Linked DNA regions of Canis lupus familiaris. The protein of the gene in region 1 interacts with the protein of each later gene in a pairwise test. Links are inferred from orthologs where the notes say so. Each region holds a gene or a part of one and is shown in the gene's direction. Other genes may lie near its edges.

Region 1 (6,128 bases):
AGATTCCAAGCTGTTTTGCAACAGATATTTTTGGCCTGCATGATGGCTGGACCAGAGGACACTAATCCTGATATCCTGAGTCATATTCTAGGGGATGATGACACTTAATTGGCCAGACCTTGAGGCTTTCTGCTTTACACTGTGTGTTCTCAGAAAAGGATAAAATAGTACATAAATGCACATAAATGCAAAATGCCAACAAAAGAATTACAGCAAGCTAATAAAACATACTGCACAAAGCTTAATTATGTTCAGTATCAAAGCAATGGTAATACGAAAAAAAAAGAGATGTTCGTTTCTTTTGATGTGAACCCCGGATTTTCACTTTGCCAAAAAAATAGGAAAAGCCTATTCTACAAAAAACAAACCCCCAGAATTATGTCCCTAACTTATTAAAATTTAAAAAACAAACTGTTGAAAGCTGGTTGGTGGGAAGTAAAACAGGACATGGAACCTGAGCCTTGCTGGCTTCTGGCAGAATTGTTTGTCCATGGCGGGTGTCACCCCACGAGCTCAGCACGACCACAGCTGATCTCTGAGGAACCTACCGAGACGCGAAGAAAGAACTACACAAGAAATTTATTAACTTAATATTGGGAGTCAAAGGGCCATCCACCTCTACAAATAGTGAAGATTGGCTCTAAATAATTCAGAATTTTCTACAGGAAAATTATAATGCTAGATTATTTCCCCCTGAAAGTTTATAAAATCCTCCTCATCCTGAAGGGCTGCTGCCTTTCTGGTTGAAGGTATGAAGTTGGGGCCATGCACTTCTTGGCCCTGGGTCTCCACTGCATCCAGCCCCCTGTGGTTGACTTCTTGCCATGTCTCTAAACCCAGCATGTTCAGGAAGCGTCCCTGCCTGACTCCCTTTTCACATTCTGCATTTGTTCTCTGGATAGTATTCATTTCTCTCCTGTTGTACTGACCTCTCTGGTATTATGTGTGTATATGTATATATGGAAGTGTGTGTGCATATGCATGTATGTGTGTATGCTTGTGTGTACATGTATGTCTATATGGGTGCATGCATAAGCACATATCTTATGCCTATCTATGTATGTGGGTGCATGTGTGTATGTATGTGTATATGCATGTGCGTGTGTATATGTGTGCATGTACATAAGTATACCCATCTATGTGTGCATGCATATGCACGTGTGTACGCCTGTGTATGTGTATACATGTTTTGTATCTGTATGTATGTATGTGTATGTGTCTGCATGTGCACATGCATGTACATGTGTGTACATGCACACATGTCCATGTATGTGTGCGTGCGTGCATGCATGCATGTGTATTTGCGTGCACATGTGCATTTGTGTTTACATGTGTGTGTGTGCATGCATACGCATATGTGTGCATGCATCCTCTTTTAGACTGGCTCCTCTACGAGCATAGCTTACACTTAACATTATTCATGCATGCCTCCCCAGAACTTAGCATATGCTTCACACACGCTAGGCATTTAGTCAACATTTCCAATATAAATGAATATGAGTATGGAAATATAATGATAATTAGAGCAATGAATAAGATATAGTCCTTTATCTGAGACAAACACATGAGAAATGGAAACTAAAACAGTTCTTTAAGTTGATGTAACCTCTAATGGTGCAGGTCTCCTGACAAACCTTGAAATAAAGAGGGAGGTGGGGCAAGGCAGAAGATGTTAACTATCTTTTGGTTTGTAAATAAACACACCTGGGGAGACCACACCCTGGAAGCAGGAGCTCCTCACACACACTGTGAGATACAGAGAAAAGGAAGTGGCACTCAAGGATTGTACCCAGCCACCATCTGCCCAGAAGGACCTCTCTATCAATGTTCTTAATGTCTCCACTCTGCTGTGTGTGGGAGGGTCCTGTGCCCTACGTCAGAGAGGGAGCCATTCACGGCCCTGAGATGGGCATTCATGATCCATTTTACTCCAAAACCAACATCAAACTGGTCTCCTCAAAGGTTCATCTCACACATCCATTGAAGGTAGGGTGATGGTGATGACCCTCTATGTCATCCACACATTCTGTTCTTTCATGCAGCCCACATCCAATGTCTCAAGACGTCCCATCCATTCTACTCAATGATCTCTCTTATTCCCCACTGCATTCGCTTTGGTCGTCCTTATATTTTCATCTTCTAGCAACAGTGCCCTCTCTAAACCAACAAGAAGGCATCTACCTGGCCCTCCCGCCACCATGTGTCCTTCATAGGTCATGAGAAACCTCTTCCTTAAATCAATTAAATAGAAAAAAATCATAAACACTTCCTTCAAATCTTTCCCATTTCCTTTCTTTTTTTTTCTCTTTTCTTTCCCTCCTTTTTTTATGTTTTTGGATGGAGGATTCTTGTGTATTAATACTATCTACATTCCTTGGATTCACGTATAACTCTAAAAACTGGTTCTAATTGTTTTCTTTCCAGCTTCACATCAAGCCATCCAAAATCATGTACAAATTTCTCCTATGACATTGGACGTCCTCCATTTTCCTAGAAAACAACAGGCCTTATTGTGAATTCTGGCTTCTGTTAAGTGTTGTCTGGGGTGTCTCACTTACCTCCTGTATTATGATTCCCTCATTTATCATCAATCCCCCCTCCAGAGAATGTGAGGTCATCACAGTAGGGCACCAAGTCTGACCCGTCTCTCATCCCAAGCACATAGCGTGATGCTCGCCATGCAGGGACCAAGCACCCCTGTCTGGGTCTAAGGAGAAGCATGTAGAATACCACTCTCAAGTGACCAAGATGAAATGTTGTTTAGGAAGAGCTGAGATAATCTTCCAAATCGTGGGTGAGGCAGGGTGGGAAGGGCTGGCCCGGGAACCAGTGGGCGGAGCCGGGCACCTCTGTGGGAACAGGCATTCCAAGTTCCAAGCAGTGCCATACAAATGAGCCCTGGAACACCCGGGCCTCCTCAGGGTTCCGAGCCGCCAAGCAGCCGGCACTGCACTGGTGAGCAGCTGGGCCTCGTGCAGGAGTGAACAGAACGAAGCCCAGACACCACCGACGAGACCTAGCTCCAGGGAGCCAGAGGACACCCCGATGCCCTGTGCCCGTCTGGCCTGCCTGGGCCAATGTCATGCTGATCACCGTGTACTGTGTGCGGAGGGACCTGTCCGAGGCGACCTTCTCCCTCCAGGTCAACCCTGACTTCGAACTGCACAACTTCCGCCTCCTTTGTGAGCTCGAGTCTGGCATCCCTGTGGACGAGATCCAGATCATCTTCATGGAGCGGCTCCTCACCGACGACCGCTGCTCCCTGGGCTCCTACGGCCTCAGAGACGGTGACGTGGTGGTGCTGCTGCAGAGGGAGAGCGCGGGGCCGCGGCCGCACGGACGAACATCCAGCCTGCTGCAGGTAGATTTCACCAGTTTAGCCGTGCCGGGCACGTCCAGCTCCCGCCAGCAGCAGCAGCAGCAGCAGCGGGCCCCGTCAGCGCAGCAGTCCCACGGCCTGGACTCCGGAGAGAAGATGACACCCACACAGGGCCTGGACAGCCCCGCGTTGATCCGGAGCATGCTACTGTCCAACCCCCACGACCTGTCACTGCTCAAGGAGCGCAACCCGCCCCTGGCCGAAGCCCTGCTCAGCGGGAACCTTGACACATTTTCTCATGTCCTCATGGAGCAGCAGAGAGAAAGGGCCCTGAGAGAGCAGGAGCGGCTGCGCCTCTACACTGCCGACCCATTCGACTTGGAAGCTCAGGCCAAAATAGAAGAAGAAATCCGGCAGCAGAACATCGAGGAAAATATGAACATAGCGATGGAGGAGGCTCCAGAGAGTTTCGGACAAGTGGCCATGCTCTATATCAACTGCAAAGTGAATGGACATCCTCTGAAGGCCTTCGTGGACTCTGGAGCCCAGATGACTATCATGAGCCAAGCCTGTGCCGAGAGATGTAATATAATACGGCTGGTGGACCGCCGGTGGGCTGGCATTGCCAAAGGGGTGGGCACGCAGAGGATTATTGGCCGAGTCCATCTAGCTCAGATTCAGATTGAAGGTGATTTCCTACAGTGCTCTTTCTCCATCCTGGAGGAGCAGCCCATGGACATGCTTCTGGGGCTGGATATGCTCAGGAGACACCAGTGTTCCATCGACTTGAAGAAGAATGTGCTGGTGATCGGCACCACTGGTACACAGACTCCCTTTCTTCCCGAGGGAGAGTTACCCCTGTGTGCCAAGCTGGTAAGTAGTGCTGGGCAACAAGAATCTCCAGACAAAGAAGGAGCAGATACTATTAAGCATTCAGTCATGGATTTAGGATGGAGAAAACATTGAAATGGATTATGAGTACGCCACCATCTTGAGGGAGCCTTAGGTCCTGGAAGATTCTAAGACATGAGCTCACTGGCAGTGTAATCATTAAAAACATCAGTAACAACCAAACCTGGCTTTGGGACTACCTTCTGAGATCCATCACTGTGTAAATTGTGATTGTTTGATCGTGGGCCCGCCTTCATTTCCCTTATACAAAGATCACTGAACCTCATCCCAGGAAGGCTCTGGAGGCTCCAAGTAATTTCCAGATAATCCATGAAATGAAACCAGTCTCTTCCTTTAGAGACACTGTCCCATCAGATTACAGGGTGCCTTGTCCAAAGCAGATGCTATTTTGCAGATGCTCTAGAAAAAGCCATCACTACAGACCCTATAAAACATCTATACAATGATTTCAAATCAGCACTCACAATTATTTATACTAAGAGAAATTTTTCCCAGATTTTGTTTTCTTTGGGAAAGTTCTTAGAAATGGTGAGTCAGTTATGCTCAAGTTGATTAATACATACAAATGTCTGTTTTGGACACTTATAAAGGCCAGTTTCTTTATATTTTATGTCTTCCCTTTCATTGGACTCCCGTGGACTCATGCTCACTGCAATATGTCCCTACAGGCAATTTTTGCCACATTTGAGAAAATGGATTTTTCTCCAATGAAGTCTAAAATAATGTCCTTTTTCCCCTGCATCAAAGAAACCCTGGTGATAAAACAAAAGCCAGCAAGTAGACTTTTTTTCTTTCTTTCTTTCTAACTATGGTGCATCTTGGAAGCCTAATAGTTGTAACTGTGGGGCCAGTGGGCGGTAGGATCAGGCAGTGGTCCAGATCCCCTAATATTCATTTCAACTAAATCAGCTTTTTTTAAAGTCTGCTTTATATATTAAGCTGCTACAGAAATATTGTTTGAACAAAGGGTTTCAGTGTTAAAGTAACATTTGAAAACCTCCGAAGGAGATGTCTGAGTCCTCATTTAGTTCTATGATACATGCAAATAAAGCTGCTGTGCATGACTACTGAAAGATCCTGGACCCATTATGATTCATGGCTGACACACCTGACACAATAGATTCAGCTGCCTGAGACCACCAGACTAAGGGGAAATGTTTCAGGGCTGATATTAGAAAGAATGATGGATTCAAAGTCAAGAAATACATGTTCTGATTCCAGCTCTGTATTGGGCATTTCCATTTTATACAACTCAGATTTCTTGTCTATAAATTACTCTGGAGGGGAGAGCCATTTCCAGGTACTGAGACTACATCATGATCTAGGGCATCCTTTAAAAGTTATTCTCTTTTCCAACAAAATCTAAAGCCATTCAAAGCATTTTTTAAAGACTACAGAAAAAAAAAAATCCTTCCCTGCCATCAGCATATGCCTTTCTGGGTCTGCTTCTTGGTGAAAGTAACCATCTTATTTCTGTAGAGTCACCTCTGCCCCTCCAGGTGCTGTTACTTCCCCTCACATGTTCTTTATAGGTATTGCCATGCTCACAAGCCCCAACCTTGTTACAAGGCTTATACCCACTAAACCACTAAAAATGAGCATAAGCAATTCAATGCCTGTTACTAGATGAAAACTGACCCAATAAATACAAGGATTCCTTCACAGATAAAAATATGCCTGTTCCTCAGCAGTTTCCCCCAGACTCTGTTTCCAGGTACATTTATGTAAAACACATGTCTGACATGTGTACATCATATGGAAATGCTCAGTGTAAGAGTTTGACATATAGCCTATGGAGTTATCTAACCCATAAAAGCCAATCTAAAAATCATCAGATCTTTAATCTAAAAGAGGTTTGCATTGTATCAAATCTGAACATACCCATCTTCCCTTCTCA
Region 2 (6,356 bases), on another chromosome or scaffold:
AGGTACAGCGGTCAACTTCATATGCTTAACGAAACCATAGCCCCCAGAGAATTCCTGTGAGTGCATATGTACCTCTGTGTGTGTCTGTGTGCCTTTTTCTCCTAGGAAAGTAAATACAGTTATTTACTTTTGAACATTTCTAAGAATTCTGATTGCTCCCTAGATTTTGTCACACAGAAAGCACCCTTTGGGCTGACATAATGCACACATAACCCTTGGCTTCTCTTGTGACCAGGAGCTGGGAAACACTGACAGGCAGTACTGTAGCCCAAAGAGTACCCTGCTGGTAGATTTCCTAGTTCTTCCATGGCCTGGCTGAGCAAATGTTCTTTAGATCTGACCTGGAAAACCCTTGCTTGTGTGTTTTCTAGTTTCTCAAGCCACTACTAATATACCTTCTTCACTTGGGCCACCCACGGTGATTCCTGTCTCGGGTTCCCCAAGCCAAATACCTGTGATGGGATGGTTGGGTGATGTGGATGGATGGATGTTTGTGTAAAGGTTGAAAATGGGTTTTCTGAGATGAGAGGGCAGGACAGTTCCTTGTACTCTGAAATTCCCCTCCTCTTCTGTTTGGGATCTTCTCAGCACTTCCTAATAGTTACCTGTATTTAGAATAAGAAATCAGAATTGTTTTGTTTTATGAACAAATGCAGGGCTCAAAGTTGGGTTATTAGCCTGCTAACTTCTTAAGTTAGGTAGACTTTAAAATTTAGTAAGTAATTCACAATTTTTATGATAGCTGTTTGATTATATTAATTCTGTAGCAGGCACTGAGGAAATGAAAAATTCAATAGAAAGCAATAGTAACCACTCCAGGGAAGAAGGGTGATTTGTTAAAGTTCAGAATCACCTCCAAATGTAAAAGCAAAAAGAGTATTCCACCAACTCAAACCACCTCATCATGGTCTGAGCCCTTGTTGGGTGAGGAGAAAAAACATTTACAGAAGACCTGGGAAGACCTTCAGACCAGGGACTGAGAAATCCATGGAAGCCTCACTAGAATAAGTCCTTTATTCATGTGGAGGGAAAGCCAGGTTACTAAGGAGCACTTTTTGATAGATTGGAACCAAACTCCCTTGGACTGTCTCCAGAATGAGTTTTATCACAGTAGCTACAATAAAAAGAAAGGTAGGGAGGTATTAATGTGGGTGGAAAAAAAGGACAGTTTCCTAAAGCTGTAGCAGTTCTGAAATTTCTACAGGCATGGGGACATGTGGTAAACGAAAGGTTCAGTCTCCTTCTAGTTCTTTTTTTTTTTTAAGATTTATTTATTTATTCATTCATTTATTCATTCATTCATGAGAGACAGAGAGAAGCAGAGACATAGAAGGAGAAGCAGGCTCCCTGCAGGGAGCCCGATGTGGGACTTGATCCCAGGACCCTGGGATCACTGAGCTGAGCCCAAGGCTGATGCTCAACCACTGAGCCCCCCAAATGTTCCTCCTTCTAGTTCTTTCTGTGCTCTCTTACCAGGCACTCGATTGGTGTCAGCAGTAGTGGTGGAGCTCTTTCATCATTGCTAACTGGGAGTGGGTCCTCCTGTGTCTCACCCCCAGGGGGAAGTGTTGTACGCCTTAGTTACATATCTGTTCCCAAGCTGAGTTGTCTCTTACACTGATGAATTTTGTTGTTTAAACAAAAACAACAAACAGAAAGTTCATTCTTTCTGATAACTCAGAGCATTTTTTATTCTGCTGAGACTAAAATATTCCATTTATTTTTTCCGCAAGGAGGAGAAAAAAAAGAACAAATAATAAGGGAAAAATGAAAAGAGATACTTTAAATTTCACAAGCATTTTTTTCAAAAAGAGAGTAAACAATATTTTTTCCTTAAAGCAGCTATGAATGCAAGATGATTTTGGAGTAGCCTTTGATCTGCTTTCTGATTTTACCCACATAAGAACTAGTCATCTCTTGTGAAGTGGGCACAGGAAGAGGGAAGGGCCTTTGTTAGTATGTCTCTCCTGTTACAACCGAGAAATAGAATTGCCAAGTGATTCTATGGCTTGAAGGGCATAGGTGATAGTTTCTTGGGTTTCTCCTGACCTGCAATTGTGTGATTTCCTTTAGACTAGCCCCTGAAGATCTTGCTTGGCTCACTTGTCTTATTTAGTATAGTTGGCTATCAAAAGTAGATCCTCTTCGGGCTCAGCCTATCATCTGTATTAAGAAGTCAGTAATTCTGTAGCTGTTGAAGAGAGTTCCAGGCGCTGATTCTTTTTACATGGATTTTGGTGGTTCTAAACTGTGTAGGGGTACCAGGGAGGAGGAGGGTATGCTCCAATCACAGCTGGCCATGTCCTGGCCCTCTGGATTCTGAGAGCCTCCCAGGGAGGGGACACACCTGATTGGATTATGGGAATGAATCTAAACAGATCACCTCCTAGTCATTTCGAGAACTGTTGTTCCAACCTCTGCTTCTCTGAAATAGTTTTGCCTCTCTGTTACCAAATTATTCAGGTGGGGGTCGGTGTTTATTACAGCTTAGGCAGACGGTGGTGTTACTTATGTCTGTGTCATCATTTGACCTCTTTCTTCATTTCAGACCGCAACATGAACATTTTGCAGTACTGCCCCTCTGCCGACATCTGGACGCTCTTTGAAACCTGCGATGTCCACATTCGCAAGCAGCAGATGGTATCTGTTGAGGAGACCATCTACATCGTGGGGGGATGTCTGCATGAACTGGGGCCCAACCGGAGGAGCAGCCAGAGCGAGGACATGCTCACCGTGCAGTCCTACAACACTGTCACAAGGCAGTGGCTCTACCTCAAGGAGAACACATCCAAATCGGGTCTTAACTTGACTTGCGCACTTCACAATGATGGCATCTACATCATGAGCAGAGACGTTACCCTGTCAACCAGCTTGGAACATCGAGTTTTCCTCAAATACAACATCTTTTCAGATAGTTGGGAAGCATTTAGGCGTTTCCCAGCCTTTGGACACAACTTGCTGGTTTCCTCTCTTTATCTGCCCAATAAAGCAGAAACATGACTGAACTGACTGAGGATTTAAAAGAAACCTGGTTCAAGACAGAAAAAGGAAAAAAAATGTAGTATCCCATTTCAAGGGAGACCGATTTCTAAAGGGAAAACATGAGTTAAAGTAGGTCACATGTACAATAGCTGTAAATAAGCTTACTTGAACTAATTACTTGAAAACACGTGGAGAAAAGAGACCAACTTTATTATTTTTTTAATTATTGATTTTTAAATGATGGGAGCAAATCCATGATAATATTTTCATCCAAATATGATACCCTTGGGCCAGTGACTGAAACTGATCATCAAAAAGAAGATTCATTGTGTCTGCTTTAGTAAAGGGCCAAAGTCAATAACTGACGTGAATGGTAAAGATCATTTTAAAATCCATTTTATTTAGGTCACTTGAAATATCATTAATACCTTCAGTGAGAGATTTTTGTTGTTGTTCTTCACATACTTGACAAATATTTATATTAACATTGTCATTTGCCCCTTTTCTCCCCACATATCCTTCCAGTGGTTTAAAAATCGGGTTCTGTATTTAGATATTTTATTTACACTATCTTTTAGGAAGCTTACAATGATGGAGCCCTATAGTTCTTACAGCATCCAGTCCTCCCTCTCTTGCTTAAAACCTTCTCAGCTATTTTTCCAAACTTTTTTGCAATTATGTGTACTGAATAGATAGGCAGATGTAACCTCTTATTTTATTTAGGTAGCAGGTTGCAAATTTATGTGGTTAGATAAGTTGCATGGCTAGGCATTCTGTATTGTTTAAAAGAGAGGATATATTGTTTAAAAGGATGGAGATATATATACATATATATATTTTTGAAATTGAGTCTTAAATTTAAATGGGAAGGGAAGGAAAGGCCAAATAAGGAAAAAAAAATGCCTTTAAGAGTTACTTTTAATGAATGTATTTGACTTAGTTCTCTTTTTTGGGGTAAGAAAGATAACTGTCATCTTTAGATCAGGCATCTCTCTAATTTAATCTTAACCTTTTAATTCATGCTTTGCTCTTATGAGGTAAGGTGAGGATAGCTGTAGAACATTTGTGCTGGAGAGAGAAGGGGCTCTTTTAGAGATGGTACGGCTTCTGGTGGCTTCTCTGGATTTAGGTAGGTTCCCTTCTTGCCTTGGTTGTTGAATGGAACCAAGCTCCAGCAGTTGTTTTCAGTAAGTCACCTAACACGAATAAAAGCTGCTGCCAGTCATAGGTCCATCCCTTTGAAAATGTATACTTAGAGAAATCTTATTCTTTCTGAACTTCTCTGATCTTTTGTGATGGAATCAGTGAAGCCGTGAGCTGGAGTCCATCTTTCTGTTCTAACGTTCCAGTTACAGCATGTCTCACTTTAAGAAAGTCCCGCAGGAAAAAAAAATCATGGCAAATCCATGCATTCCGCACTTACCCGCTGCTTCCGGCGTGTATTCGCCATGCAGATGTGGTGCAGAGGGGTTGATCACTTCAGCAGAGCTCTTCAGGTCATCAGAAGAGTCACTGCAGGGTTTCTTTAACAACCATGGCCAGCTAGTGGAGTTAAAATCAGGATCTGGTTATAAAAATCCTATTTGCACAACTTTTCAGGACTATTAAGTAAAATGAGGCAAGCCTTTGTTGTGGACTTGGAGACAGCTCTTTGATCTTGTTACCAAATAATCATACCAGTACTCTACTTACACTACTTAAGGGTTTCTAAGCCATATCCATTTATTCTCAAATACTTAGCCTTTTTTTTTAAAACTCGGAACTGAAATCATCTTGGGGATGGTACTCTAATAATAGATTTATATTAATTTATATTCATTATGTAATTGAATTTCCAGTGACCTATAATTTCATTGCATATATTTAAAAATCTAATTTATTTTAGATAGTGTTGACTTTTGTTGCTACAAATTTTAATTTTTTTAAAGCTTAACCTTGTATATCCAGAAGATTCTAGCCAGTTGAATTAGTTCTGGACAATTTGACCTTAGCTTGTAAATAACCACATCATATAAAATGTAATATTGCTGCCAACCAGTTCTCTTCCTGATTACATTCTTTGGATGTGTTTTCCTAATGCCAACAATTAGATTCTTGGACCAAGTGAAGGAATACTCTGATCCACAAAGTTCTTTTTATAAACCAGGTTTGATGTGTGTGTATATGTGCATATTATCTGTGTGTGTATGTGTGTGTGCACGCACGTGTCGTGGCATATTATAGCTCTAAGATACACAGACTTTTAACAAAGTTTTGTTACTCTGGACTGCCAGTGGTACTTGGGCAAGGCACAATGTGCAGTAGGAACAGATCTGTGGATTTGGGTCACCCTTTTTCCTGCCGTGCACATGAGCTACATTGGCATTTTGAGGATAATTTTAATTTAGCTCTGTTCTCGTATTGGTGCCAGTGTTGTATTAAAGACTCTACCTATGATGAGGGAATGTTGCATTGAAAATCCCGTCATCCCCCAGGACTTTGCCTTTTTTTTTAATTTTTATTTTTATTCCGGTATAGTTAATATACAGTGTTATATTAGTTTTAGGTATACAATGTAGTGCTCTTTGATGATATCCTTCCATTTTCTTCCTTCCTCCAAATGTTTCATCCTTCTTTTCTGAAATACTTCTGAGGGGTACTAACCTCCCACTGCAGAGAGGGGAGTTAGTGGAGGACCCCTGATAGTGGGAGCCATCCTGCCAGAAGCAACCTATTTTACTAAGAATAGTCTGAGTGGCAGAGTGAATCCTGAGTGTGGATTGGTAGAGGGAAGTTGGTTCTTCCTGTCATTTTTCCTGGCTTTCTTCTTAAGACCCTTGGTTTCAGAGGCCTCTCCCCTTAGCATCCTTCAAAGTTTTTCTGATGAAAATATATGAGTTATTTCAACAGTGTTGGTTAAGTCATAACAATGAAGTACTGAGAAGGTTATGGATTCTACTAAGAAACAAATAGATTAAGATTAAGCATGAATACCAAAGAGAATTGAACTCGGCCATGTTTTTTTGAACCAAAATCCCAAGTAATTCCAAATGCCTTAGACATCAATTAAAGTTGTATTGAGATGGACAAGCTCTTTCTCTCCAAAGGGTATTAGAAGTAAATGCTTATTTTCTTTCAATAAAGACTTACTTAATGAGCATTGTGGATGCCATGTTTTCAGATTTCCAGGTAAAGTCATGACCCTACCTGTTTGGCCACACAGGTAAATCGAGTGGAAAGGCCTTGGCCTTCTTGATCAACCAACATCTAATGAGCAGTGGCTTAATGCAGAGCATTCGTGAGGCAGCATAGTGACAGAAAGGGAAGATGGGTGAGTTGTTGGATGCCTTTTTCCTAGACCAGGGATGGGGAATATATAACATCTGTGCCACCAC
Region 3 (6,016 bases), on another chromosome or scaffold:
AGGATGCACCGGGTGAGCACATGGGTCACCAAAAGGAAAGGAGGCGGAGTCCACAGGGCCTTGGAGATTTTGTCTGGACACACTCTGCCATTTGCCAGGGAGCGTGAGGAGGTGATGTGTCCAAGATCCAGCCCTGGGGTACCACCCAACCTCCCCCAGGAGTGGGGGGTGCAGAGGAAAGACCTGAACACTATGGCCAGGGCTGTTTCTGGAGAGTCTGACATCTTGACAAGGTCTTTCCCTATATATGCCCCTGCTTGCACGGTTCCCCATTCCTGACTCTTAGGGAGGCTCAGTTTGGGCGGGTGGGGGTGGTGGCATCTACCCCTGTGCTCTGTGCTCAGTGAGAGGCCCACAATTAATCCAGAAGGCCTGAGACAGCAGTGAGGTCCAGCCGGCTGGTCAGCCCGGGCCACATTCCACCAGACCCACCTCTGTGTTGGTCGGAGCCCAGCGCTGGCCCAGCTCCTCCCTGCCAGACCCGAGCCCCACCAGCCTGCTCCCTCTGGGTCTCCTCCTGCTCTCTGCCCCCCGACCTGCCAGGTGGGGGAGAAGGTTGGTTAAAGGGGCTAGAGGGGAAGATTGATAAACCTCTCTGGTGTCCCAAAGGCCCCTCCCCAGATCCTGTGCCCCCCAACTTTTATCACTCACACCTCCCCAACTTCACACACATCCACAAGGACAGGCGCCAGTGAGAGCCTGAGACACTGAGTCCTCTGGCCCATCACTCTCAGGTCCTCCCTCCCTGCTGGGCTAAGGCCAGCTGCACCCCCACACCCTACCCCCCACCCCAGCCCCAGGAGTCCACAGCCAGGAAGGGGGTGGCAGTGCTGGTGGTGGTGGAAAAGCTGTCTTGGGGTCGGAACCAGACCCCATACCTGCACTCCAGTGGAGAGGGAACACCCATGCTCTAGGAAGACTCCCCTCCCGGTTGTAACTCTGCCACCTTCCCCCCTCACACTCAAGACAAGCCTATTTCAGGCTCTGTTGGAAGCCCAGATGCCTCTGGGAGCTGAGAAACTCCCCAAGGCTGGCTGCTGAGGCTTCTCCCCTGCAGGCAGCGCAGCACAGCACAGGCCCGGACCTGGAGGGTCGGGAGTGCTGGGGCTGGGGACAGAAGCCAGGAAGAGGGAGCAGAGCACGTGGCCCCCAGACTCCCCTGGTGCAGCAGAGGGGCTCCCTGGGACTGTCATTCCTCAGGGCCATAATGGCCCTGGGTGTCAAGGCAGGAGACTCGTTGGGCCCCAGGCCCCCATCTCCCTGGCACAGCAGTTTCTCCGAGGCAGGATTCGGAAGCCATCAAGGCAGGAGATGTCTGTCTGTCTTCCTGGCCCTGCCACCCACTTTGCTGGGCAACCCTGGGCATAGATTCCTAAAACAGAACGCGGAGATAAAAACAGTGCCAATCTCAGGAGGCTAGTGCAGGATTAATGACACAATCTAGTAAGTGCTCAGTAAGTCTTCCTTGTTAGCTCCTCATCAGTAAAATGGATATAACAATGCTTGCTTGGTTGTGGCAATTATTTTTTTTTTAAGATTTTATTTATTTATTCATGAAAGACACAGAGAGAGAAGCAGAGACACAGGCAGAGGGAGAAGCAGGCTCCACGCAGGGAGCCCGATGTGGCACTCGATCCTCGATCCCGGATCCCGGGATCATGCCCCGAGACAAAGGCAGACGCTCAACTGCTGAGCCACCCAGGCATCCCCGGTTGTGGCAATTAAGTGAAATAACAGGTGGAGATGTTTTGCACATTGGAACGCACCAGGCAAACAGCGATCATTATTTTTATTGCAATGTGAAGTGCCCAAAGTCTAAGGTAATACTCATTTAAGCCCAAATTGGGTTCTTTACATTTGTCCTTCATATCATGCGTCTCCAGAAAAATCCAACGTATTTTCAGACTCATTGCCTCATTTGTCCTCACTAGTGTATCTGTGAACTATCGAGTGGGAGGAACTCCTCTCACACTTTTGCAGACGGGAGGTTGTGAAGTGGTTTGCCCAAGGTCACCCTTGGTCTCCACATGGACTGCGTCCTCGCCACTCCCCCGCCTGCAGCAGCTTTGTCGCCTGACGGGATGGACTGGGCCAGAAGCTCTCTCTGCATCTGTTCCAGCTCTCTGGCCAAAGGGCTGATTTGGCAAATTATCAGTTTTCTCTGATCGCAAATGAGGATACTCCAGAGGTGTGAGAGAACCCAACAAAACAGGCCCAAGACATTCCGTATGTTTTCTGAAGTTCTGATCGGGTGTGTGTGAGTGTGTACCTGCACCTCCTGCAACACCCAGCTCTGCCAGGGAGAGAGAACGCAAAGGGCATTGGTGTCATCTTGCGGACCCAGGGCCCTGGGCTGAGGGGATGGGTCACAGCAGGTGTGAGACCCAGGCCCTGCCCTTGGGTTGTGGGACCCAGTCCAACAGGCAGGAAGGGAAGAAGCGGTAAAGGGTGGCGGGGAACCCCTAATGGCCTTAAAGGGACAGCCTGGGCACCGTGGGGTAGGAGGGCCAAGTCCAACGCAAGAAAGAGTGGGAAGGAAGGCTGGCCTGCCCGAGGAGTGTTTTACCAGCAGTGAGTGGGCTGGAGGAAGGTGGCTGAGTTGGGACAGTTTGTAGGAAGCCTGAGATCCCAGGTTAAGGATTTTGACTTTGTCCAGTAGATATTGGGGTGCCACTGAATGTGAGCATGAAAGTAACCTAATGAAAGTGACATTTGGGGGGAATTAGGCAATTTCAGGTAAAGTGGAGAGGGAAGGAGAGCACTAAAAAGACCTGGGGTCTGCCCCAGGACGTGCACGGGCTTCTTGGAGAAGCGAGATGTACAGATGTGAAGTAATGACGGACTCACACCAGGAGGGTAAGACCAGTCCGGAGCTGTAATTAAATCAGCCAATCAATAAGCGCAGCAGGCGGAGGAGGGAAGCAGGTAGGGAGGAGGGAACAGACAGAGCTGGCGGGAGAACTGTCCCGTGTTTCTTCCCTCCGTGACTGGGTGACCTGAGCCAAGTCACTCGGGCTTTACTTTTTGCAAAGAGAGCTCTACCTTGATCACGACCCACTGGCATTGACCGAGCACCCGGTGTTCACACTGTGCTGAGGACTCCACACGCGGTTTCCCAGTTCATCCTCATGGCAAGCTAGGAACAACCATGCCCGTTGCATGGACGAGGACACGGAGACTCAGAGAAGTGCCATCACTTATCCGAGGTCACGCTGGCCCCGGGGCCCAGAACTAGAGCTCTGGCCCTCTCTGCTGTGCCTGGAGCAGGCCTTGAGGGTGGGTGGGGCTGGGAAAGGAGGCCACAGCAAGAAAGACAGGAGCCTGGGAGACAGGGCTGACAGTCTGTGCAAGTTTGGCCCACAGATATGGCCAGGACCCGGGTCGGGGCGGCATGTCACCAGCTCGGCCAGAGGGAGGGTCTGTGTCTGGGGGCCCGCTACACACGGTGGTGAAAGAGTTACTGGTCCTGCCCCTCCTACCCCGCACCCCCACTACCCTGGCACCTTGGGGTGGACTCCCTGGTCACCCCAGCCACCTCGGGTGGGTCCCCCGTCACCTCGACCACCCAGCCGTCTTGAGGTGGGCTCCCCCTGTCACCCCAGCCACCTTGGGGTGGGCTCCCCACATCACCCCAGCCACCTCGGGGTGGGCTCCCTCCATCACCCTGGCCACCTTAGGGTGGGCTCTCCACATCACCCTGGCCTCCTTGGGGTGGGCTCCTCCCATCACCGGGCCACCTCGGTGTGGGCTCCCCCCATTACCCCAGCCACCTCAGGGTGGGCTCCCCCCGTCACCCTGGCCTTCTTGAGGTGGACTCCCCCATCACCCCAGCCACCTTGGGGTGGCTCCCCACATCACCCTGGCCACCTTGGGGCGGCTCCCCATGTCACCCTGGCCACCTCACGGTGGGGCCCAGGCAGTCCTGACTTGAGCACTCCCGCCCTCCCGCCAGGTTCTTTGTGAACTTTCCATCGGCCAAGCAGTACTTCAGCCAGTTCAAGCACATGACAGAGCCCCTGGAGATGGAGCGGAGCCCCCAGCTGCGGAAACACGCCTGCCGGGTCATGGGGGCCCTCAACACTGTCGTGGAGAACCTACACGACCCGGAGAAGGTGTCCTCCGTGCTCGCCCTTGTGGGCAAAGCCCACGCCCTCAAGCACAAGGTGGAGCCTGTGTACTTCAAGGTAGGTGGCTGTGGCCAATCCTCCGCCCACCCTGCTCTGGGAGCACCACTGGGGAACAGAGGGGACCACTGGGCAGCCCAGCCTCTCCCCCCTCAACCTCCACATGGTTGTGACAGGGAGGGGGCTGCAGGATCAGGTGGGGGCTGGGTCTCAAAGTTGCCAGGCTGTCCTGTTGTGAATGATCCCCCTGGCCAAAACCTGTCTAGAAGGGGTGCTGGGGGCCTTGGGGGCTTCGGGGGTGAGGAGGCAGGGCAACCAGGCGTTTACTTCTCCCTCCTCCCTTTGCCCCCAGATCCTCTCTGGGGTGATTCTGGAGGTGATCGCCGAGGAATTTGCCAATGACTTCCCACCTGAGACGCAGAGAGCCTGGGCCAAGCTGCGTAGCCTCATCTACAGCCATGTGACCGCTGCCTACAAAGAAGTGGGCTGGGTACAGCAGGTCCCCAACACCACCACGTGAGGAGGGGTGAGGGTGGGCCGGACAGCCTCCCCGCCGTCCTCCCCTGCCCCCCCCCCCCCCCCCCCCCCGGTCTCCCATCTCTCCTGGGGCACAGGAGCTGACTGCTGGGGCAGGAACTCTTCGGGAGGCTAGGTCTGGGGTCTGACGCTTAAGAAGAGGCATGATGGGAAAGGGCCGGGCCCCTACTAGATAGAGGCTGCTCCGAGCCATGAGCCCCAAACAGATTCTCCTGGGGTAGAGCCATCCCCTTCCCTAGAACACAAGAGCACTCAGAGCGGCCCAAGACCACGGCCGCCCAGGGCAGAGAGGCCCTACGAGGTTCCTGGCGGGAAGGCTAGCTCATCGGGCCCAGAGGCAGGCCAGGCTAATTCCCCACCACTTCCTCCCCGGTACCAATCACATGGGGCTGTTTGTCAGCTAATGCTGACCAGTGCTCCCTCCTGCCTCTGCCTCAGCAGGGCCGGAGCCAGGAGAATCACGAGGGTGTGTGCACACACGTGCACATGCCCAAGCGCACAAGGGGCCTGCGTGGGTGTCGCTACCCCGCACACACCTTCAGGGGTGTTTACTTCCAGGTTGACCCTAGAGGCCAGGTTCCCAGTTCTGGGGTGAGGGCCACGGAGATGGGCTCGAGGAGGGTGGCCAGCCTCAGGGACTCCAGCGGACTCGGAGCTCAAGGGGAGGGCTGGCCCCCAGACATGGTGGCTGGGAACACTCCGGCCTGCCCAGGCCCCCAAGGGGCAGGCAGCTCTGGGAGCTCAATGGAGGGGCGGAGGCAGGGCTGGAGTAGGAAGGAGAAAGAGGAGCGTAGGCGGGAATGGGAAGCAGGGGTCAGCCAGCGGCTCAGGACACGCGTTGTCGAGAAACATTCCCAGCAGTTTCCCATGGAAAAGGCGCGTCTGCTCCCCGGGCTCCGAGCGGCCCACGGACCTCCTGGACCTCCTGCTCGCAGGCCTCGGGGCCCAGCTCTGGAGGAGGTCCCCCGAGGGCGGACTTGGGAGGCCGGGCCTCCTGACCTTCCTGCTGCTGGCCACACGGGCCCCAGCTTGCTCCTGCTCCCTTCCCCCACATCGGCACCACCCCAGGAGAGTAGAAATCTCGGGAACTTCTGGCTACAGCTCGGCAGTGAGGCCAGATGTGCACAGCTGGGCCCTGGCCTGCCCCAGATCCCGGGGTGGGGAGGGGGACGTGGACGGGAAGCAGATAGAAGATCTTTACCTGCCGCAGGAGGTGCTGGCAGAGCCGGGGTGGCTGCCGGAAGCTGACGGCGGGGCCAGGGAGGGTCAGTGGGGGAAGGGGCTTGCCCTCCCAGCCTCCACCCAGGCCGGAGAGGCCGGCTCAGCTGCCAGAGATGAGTTTGTTTACAGCCAGG

The links. The genes of interacting proteins can lie anywhere in the genome.
Region 2: the proteins of DDI1 (region 1) and KLHL42 interact in binary tests that used the Homo sapiens proteins (3 or more experiments, as listed by UniProt). The two-hybrid records come from large-scale screens. The link is inferred for Canis lupus familiaris from reciprocal best matches to the Homo sapiens genes DDI1 and KLHL42.
Region 3: the proteins of DDI1 (region 1) and CYGB interact in binary tests that used the Homo sapiens proteins (3 or more experiments, as listed by UniProt). The two-hybrid records come from large-scale screens. The link is inferred for Canis lupus familiaris from reciprocal best matches to the Homo sapiens genes DDI1 and CYGB.

Annotation. Positions count from the first base shown.
Region 1 is NC_049226.1:28,115,994-28,122,121, reverse strand, and holds DDI1 (protein DDI1 homolog 1), read left to right. Parts: upstream 1-2,888; 5' UTR 2,889-3,082; coding exon 3,083-4,285; 3' UTR 4,286-4,393; downstream 4,394-6,128. UniProt on the Homo sapiens protein: Probable aspartic protease. Seems to act as a proteasomal shuttle which links the proteasome and replication fork proteins like RTF2. Required, with DDI2, for cellular survival following replication stress.
Region 2 is NC_049248.1:26,606,972-26,613,327, forward strand, and holds part of KLHL42 (kelch-like protein 42), read left to right. Parts: intron 1-2,548; coding exon 2,549-3,000; 3' UTR 3,001-6,356. UniProt on the Homo sapiens protein: Substrate-specific adapter of a BCR (BTB-CUL3-RBX1) E3 ubiquitin-protein ligase complex required for mitotic progression and cytokinesis. The BCR(KLHL42) E3 ubiquitin ligase complex mediates the ubiquitination and subsequent degradation of KATNA1.
Region 3 is NC_049230.1:5,095,035-5,101,050, forward strand, and holds part of CYGB (cytoglobin), read left to right. Parts: intron 1-3,952; coding exon 3,953-4,184; intron 4,185-4,476; coding exon 4,477-4,640; intron 4,641-6,016. UniProt on the Homo sapiens protein: Probable multifunctional globin with a hexacoordinated heme iron required for the catalysis of various reactions depending on redox condition of the cell as well as oxygen availability.